Linked DNA regions of Drosophila melanogaster. The protein of the gene in region 1 interacts with the protein of each later gene in a pairwise test. Each region holds a gene or a part of one and is shown in the gene's direction. Other genes may lie near its edges. The genes, in order: awd and Vhl.

Evidence for each region.
Region 2: the proteins of awd (region 1) and Vhl interact in a two-hybrid assay, tested with the Drosophila melanogaster proteins (one study listed by BioGRID).

Annotation. Positions count from the first base shown.
Region 1 is NT_033777.3:31,744,512-31,747,810, reverse strand, and holds awd (abnormal wing discs), read left to right. Parts: upstream 1-1,733; 5' UTR 1,734-1,867; coding exon 1,868-2,041; intron 2,042-2,220; coding exon 2,221-2,553; 3' UTR 2,554-2,639; downstream 2,640-3,299. Other genes in the region: nero, read left to right, coding at 336-1,244; CG1896 (uncharacterized protein), read right to left, coding at 2,690-2,810, 2,873-3,299. UniProt on the Drosophila melanogaster protein: Major role in the synthesis of nucleoside triphosphates other than ATP. The ATP gamma phosphate is transferred to the NDP beta phosphate via a ping-pong mechanism, using a phosphorylated active-site intermediate.
Region 2 is NT_033778.4:11,277,944-11,281,595, forward strand, and holds Vhl (von Hippel-Lindau), read left to right. Parts: upstream 1-1,781; 5' UTR 1,782-1,934; coding exon 1,935-2,471; 3' UTR 2,472-3,090; downstream 3,091-3,652. Other genes in the region: Cpr47Eg (cuticular protein 47Eg), read right to left, coding at 42-383, 452-463; CG9067 (uncharacterized protein), read right to left, coding at 993-1,038, 1,103-1,182, 1,248-1,335, 1,396-1,565, 1,620-1,652; CG9062 (uncharacterized protein), read right to left, coding at 3,164-3,207, 3,331-3,436, 3,495-3,652. UniProt on the Drosophila melanogaster protein: Involved in development of tracheal vasculature. Probably involved in halting cell migration at the end of vascular tube outgrowth.

The DNA of each region.
Region 1 (3,299 bases):
GAGCCGCTCTTTTGGTCACCGATGCTGCGCCAGGACTGAGTCAGTATTTTTGAATACTTTCTGTGTCTAGAACGTTCGCTTTTCACCCTTTTATTGACTTTTTTGTATCGCGCTTCTACGGAGTAAACGTAACTAAACTGCTTCTTGCTAGTGCTGCACAATTTGTACTCTAAACGCGTTGGCAGCGCCGTTTCATCGACTCATAGTCCATCGATAGCCACGTCATATCGATTACTTGTAGTTTTGGTATTACCAAGTACTGAGTGTATGGCCACATTGCGACACCACACGCGGCCCGTTGCAGTTTTTTATTTATAAGTCCACACCGCATACAAATGGTTTCGCAGCAGCAAATCGAGGCCATTGGAGGCGTTCTGAACAACAAGGAACGCCCACTGAAAGAGCGCTTTCGAGCCCTCTTCACGCTGAAGAACATCGGCGGAGGAGCGGCCATCGAGGCGATCAGCAAAGCCTTTGACGATGATTCGGCCCTTCTCAAACATGAGCTGGCCTACTGCTTGGGTCAGATGCAGGACGCACAGGCGTTAGACATCCTCACCAAGGTGCTAAAGGACACCACCCAGGAGCCGATGGTGCGCCACGAGGCTGCGGAGGCCATGGGCGCCATTGGTCATCCAGATGTGCTGCCAATTCTGGAGGAGTACAAACAAGATCCGGTAGTGGAGGTGGCCGAAACATGTGCCATTGCTCTGGACCGCGTCCGCTGGCTGCAGAGTGGCCAAAAGGTAGATGACAGCAACCCTTACGCCTCCGTTGATCCCTCACCGCCAACTGCGGGCGACAAGAGCGTCACCGAGCTGAAGGCCATCTATCTGGATGCCCAGCAGAGCCTGTTCGATCGATATAGGGCCATGTTCAGCCTGCGCAATCTGCGCACCGAAGAGAGTGTCTTGGCCATTGCCGAGGGACTTAAGGACTCTTCCGCCCTCTTCCGCCACGAGGTGGCCTTCGTACTGGGCCAGCTGCAAGAACCCTGCAGCATTCCCTTCCTTCAAGAGAATCTGGAGGATCGCCTGGAAAACGAAATGGTGCGTCACGAGTGTGCCGAGGCCCTTGGCGCCATCGCCACAGAGGACTGCATTCAGATCTTGAACCGCTACGCCGAGGACGACAAGCGCGTGGTCAAGGAGAGCTGCGTCATCGCCCTGGACATGTGCGAGTACGAGAACAGTCCGGAGTTCCAATATGCCGACGGCCTAGCCAAACTAGACGCGACCAAGTGATTTTCGCCGAACATTTGCATCTACCAGCTGTGTATATATTAGTCGTAAACTTGTATTGTTTTGTCACTTCTGTGATCACATGGACCTAATCTTATCGAGACATAAAAAGAAATTTGAACGTGACTTCCCTGTGGTTTTTGATTAACCTGCTGGATGGATGAATCAACTGGTGGGAATGCTGATGCTAATGAGTGCCTAGTAACTATCCTAGTTTGACGGGCATTTTATCATCAACTGTGGGCAACTCTTTGTTTTTTTTTAAATGTTTTAATGTGTCTAGTAATTAAAAATAATACTATTGAGTTTTCGTTATTTTTGCTTTAAATTATTCGATGAAATGCATTCAGAATACATTCTGAAATTCAAAGTACAAGGCGACATGGCAGCCCCATTTGAGCGGTTATAAACTGAAAAAAATATGAATACTTTAGCAATGCACTCAAATTTCCGCTTTGGAATTTAAATAACAAGTATTTTCCTATCCTTTAAATCGCCCAACAAAAACAAAAACTCAAGAACGCGGCTGGCTGCCCAGTGTGACCACTTGACGATTTCCCACAATTCACCTTGCCGGCATTTCGTATTCGGGATTTTTTTGCAACGGCGAACACATGAAGCTCCTGATGCTCGGCACAATTTTGGCATTCTTTTCTGTAATCTCGGCGACAATGGCGGCTAACAAGGAGAGGACTTTCATCATGGTCAAGCCCGATGGCGTCCAGCGCGGGCTCGTCGGCAAGATCATCGAGCGCTTCGAGCAGAAGGGCTTCAAGCTGGTCGCCCTGAAGTTCACCTGGGTAAGCGGATAATTGAATTAGGAAGAAATCAATAGATATAAATACGTGGAAACGGGTTGCCCCACGCGGGGTTGCCATCGGACCTAACCTCAAAGGCTGGGTGCAGGCGTCATCGCGGAATGACATGTGTTTAGAGGTCAGAACTGCAATTAACTGATAACGAACCGTTTTGTAACCAGGCCTCCAAGGAGCTGCTGGAGAAGCACTACGCTGATCTGTCCGCCCGCCCCTTCTTCCCCGGACTCGTGAACTACATGAACTCCGGCCCCGTGGTGCCCATGGTGTGGGAGGGTCTGAATGTGGTCAAGACCGGTCGCCAGATGCTCGGCGCCACCAACCCCGCCGACTCGCTGCCCGGCACCATCCGCGGTGACTTCTGCATTCAGGTCGGACGCAACATCATCCACGGCTCCGATGCCGTCGAGTCTGCCGAGAAGGAGATCGCCCTGTGGTTCAACGAAAAGGAGCTGGTCACCTGGACCCCGGCCGCCAAGGACTGGATCTACGAATAGACGGCTACTTTAACTGTCTGCCCTCGTCTAAGCTGAATACAGATTGATTCTTCTAAAGAAATAAAATTCCACAATAATTACTATATAATCTTGCTTCTTTATAAGGAGTGTGAGCTTTGGAAAGGTTTCTATGATATTAAGTTAAGGATAGTCGATAGCCTATCCACTGAGCTGTAGGCTTTGTTGGCGGTAGCACCCATCCTCTGGGTATAGAGGAGCCTCTTCCACAGTAGCTTATGTAAGAATCCCATGTGGAGCTGGAAAAAGCGATGCAATTAAAAGGGAGCTCCCGCCGGACAATGCATTTCCCTAGACATACCGAATTTCAAGAAATTTCCCCTTATTTAATTTGGGAGTTGGCAAGGATCGGCCGAAGAACACAGCCTTCCATTGAGATTCAAGTGAAGCCACCTTCTTGGACTCCTTGACATGGCCAGCTTGAGTCTCTTCTTGGACTCTGCGCCAAACAAGACGCATGTGGGTCAGTTTTTGGCAAAGGGCGGCTCTGTCTCCTCCACGAGACTCGCAAAGTTTCTCCAGAAGATCAAAGGTCTCCAAAATGGAGGCAGCATCGCGTTGTTTTCGCAGGGATATGTGCTTCGCTTGTTCCAGTGCGGTATTTCGGGGCGGTTCTATGGAGAACTTCTGTTCTGCAGCCTCAGATTTGACGGTTGCACGTATCACCCGATGTTGGCTTCGTCTATATAAGCGTCGCCGGCGTTTTCTTTGTTTTTGTTCGTCGACTA
Region 2 (3,652 bases), on another chromosome or scaffold:
AGTCTAGGAAAGTAAAGTTCAACACATTTATTTAACATTATTTATTGACTTGGGGGGTGGGCGGCGATGTACTCCAGAGAACGCTGGATGGCCTCTGGAATTGGTGGTGGGGTGGGCAGAGGAGGGTTGGCAGACACCACCTGGTAACCGTTGGCATCGGCGATATATTGGATGGACACTGGCACATTTTCGGGAGATGTCCACGACTGGCTTCCCTTCACCACCCACTCTTCGCCGTTAAGGTCACCCTTCTGTTGCACATTGACAGAGTTGTCCAGCTCAACAGCGTAAGCAAAGCCGTCAACATTCACTTGCTGCTCGGCACGGAGAACATTGGCATCTTCGTTGGCGAGGGCGACGGCCAACAGGCAGGCGAAAGCAATCTACAAGGATTGTAAATAACAAATCAGCTAGAATCATTAAAGGATCAATTTGCGATAAAGCCACTTACGAAGAACTTCATGTTGATTGTTGAAAGACTTGAGAAGGCTAACTGATATCGAACTGGAACTTCTGCCTGCTTTTTATATGATACTGATGCTCAGCTTACCTCTGCCGGTGGCGCCCAAGTTCAAGTCTAGAGACGCGTAGGATTTGATTTCATTAATTATGCATTAGATAAGACAAAATACATGTTTATGTGTGCCTCGTTATTGCCGTTCAGTTAAAGTTCGCATTGAATCCCATAATAATGCCCGAAACAGACGGAAGACGAGTTTGACGCGGAGACATTAACTAACTATGTGTCAACTAGCAGACACATTGTAAAGATATAATTAATTCTCGAATTATTTTTGTCAAAAATGTCGAATTAGCATAATATTTGGCTACGGCTAGCCAGCCAACGACCGGTTTGCGTATCTCCGGTGCGTATCTCTCTTGAGTCTAGCTTGGAGCGGGCACTTGGCCAGGCCACCTTGACATCCCTCCTAGAAAGACGTATGCATTTGATAAATAATTCGCTTTATTATTCGTTCAGTATTAATCTACAGCTAGGCAGTGCCGCTCATCAGTTTCTGGACAGCGCGATCGAACTTCCTGCAGATATAAAAGTAACGTATTAAGAGCAACTTATATATTCTTTAAGGAGAAGCCCGCTTACTTTGAAGTCAGCGATTCGCCGGGAATGTAAAAGGGATTGCAGATGGCATCGGTGTAGAGCAAGTGGAGATTTCGGAAGATCTGGAAGATACAGAGGGTAGGAGGTATTTGGGGCTTTCATTTAGATAGTTAGATTGGATACCCACTGCTCGAACTTCGTTTTCCCGAAGGGCAACGTTGCTGGAGTCGATGACCACTATGAATTTCACCCGAGTGTTGGTCACAAAGCCGTATCTGTAATGAAATCAACCACCAATCAGTTGCAAATTCACCAGCATAACTACACCCAAGTACATTTTGTGGTTCTCTGTCGAGTAGAGCAGTCCCAGGTACAGCTCCTTGGACTCCGGAGCACCCTTGCCAATCAGGCACTTCTCCTCCACGACGTCTAAGGCGGCGTTAACATGATATTGCAATTCCAGTTCCTGCTCCATATCGGATGTGGTCAGGTACAGGGGGGCGTTCTGTGGGGAATTTGTCATGCAATTAATTGTATTCAAATGAAAAATAAAACTCACATCCTTGCCAATAACTGCTATGCAAAATGCCATATTTTGTTATTTCTTGGTGTTTATTTGTTTACTTTTCGCGAGAGGCGGAGGCAAATCAGCTGATTTACCCCTTATCGATAAGACATTCATCGAAAGTGTGGCCAGCTGCAGTGACACGCAGCAGGAAAAATGTTACCGTAACTGATAAGAAGTGAATTTTATCTATACTTGTTGTTAGCTTGTTGTGATTTGATTCAATCCAATTCCCACGGCTTGTGCAAACGTAAAACAACGAAAATTGATTTGGCAGCCATTGCAGATCGGCTTAGCACCCTGCTGGAGATGGCGCTCCAAATAGCGCAGAACAACCGCGACGGCCAGCAGCTGGTGGGCGCTGATCAGGGAAAGGTGGAGGTGTACGTGCTGTTTGCAAACACCACCTATCGCACCCTGGATCTGTACTGGGTGTGCGAGCGGGAGCGGGAGAACATGTACCTTACCCTCAAGCCCTTCGAGGAGGTGCGGGTGAACACGTTCACCACACACAGCTGGCTGTTCCGGGATTACTACACGGGCGAACGGATGCACGTACGCTCGCAGAGGATCTTTCAGCCGATTCGGGTGCGGGTACCCAAGAGCCAGCAGAGTCCGGATCAGCTGGTTGACGTACGCAGCGAAGTGCTGATCCACTTTCCGATGAGATCGCTGCGCGAAAACTGCCTCTGGCTGGTCGCCCGCTGGCTGATCCGGACGAGCAACGCGCCACGGAGGATTATCCACGGATACCACATACCCTCGACGCTGAAGCAACAGCTGCTCAGCCTGCTGACCTGCATCGAGTCCTATTCCCGAGTGGCGGGCACGCGACGTCGGCGTTAGGAGCACACTCCTAGTTGTTAGTTAAGAGGGCGGGTAATCATCTTAGGGACTGAGAGACAGGCTTGATTTCCAAATAATTTAATAACTTTAATTGATTTCCATCCTGGTTTTCGATTTTCGCTTATTACTTATGTACAAATTGGCTTGCATAGAGCTCTTTACAAGTTGGGCTACTACCATTGCATTGATTTTTCTGTATATTTAACAGATTTCTTATACCTATGTATGTTCTATGTAAATAATTATGTATAAACCTAATGTGAAACAAGTGTGAATATTACATACATACATATATGCGCAATACTCTAGGTCTAGTTGCTTCAGATGCAAATACGATTTAATGGTATGTCTGCAGTTACTCCTTTGCAATGCTTATCTACGTGTGTCGCAAGCCTAATTGTTATAAGTCTGAATCTGAAGTACATATTTATTCCTAACGAGAAGTGAACAAACAAAAGTACTCCGGTGCACTTTTAAATTTAAAGTTAACGCTCGTACAGATTCTCCTTGAATGTGTTTGTGTTTGTCCACGAGTCGAGTCGAGAAGAGATGAGACGAATCGCAGGTTAACTCAAATATATTGCAAAATCAACTTATAAAAATATAAATTGTTAATCGATCTGCTCAATCTCGTTCTCATTCAATAATGCATCGGTACTGCTTCGGTTAGGCGGGAGATCACTTGCCAGCGTTCAATACTTGCGCGTCACGCGCTCCAAGCTATCCCCGATCGAACCTATGGGGCGGATATATATAAGCACAACTCTCGGTTAGGCAATAGCAATTGCAGAAATCAAGTATGCGTTGTGTTTGTGATAGGTGTTCTTGTGTTGTTCAATGCGTGGGCTCTCTTATTTACCATCGTAGTTGAAATTCTGTTTGGTCTTGTACTGAAACGTTAGATCGGTCGACTGCTTCCAGATAAAGTGGCGCACCGTGCGCAGGTCCATGTTGGGGTCCACAACCTTTAAAGGAAAGGCGGTGAACAAGGTCCTTTAAATGAGATTTGTCCATTTGTCTTACCACATCGTTACACCACAGTTCAATTCGTTCCTCAGCTGGCAGTTGGGATCCCTCCGAATTAGCATCGCTCTGGCTATTCTGCAGTGAATTGTTAGCATTGCCCCCACTTGGGGTAGTTTCCGCATTCAGCACCTTTTCAAGCACGTGCTCGCAGACCT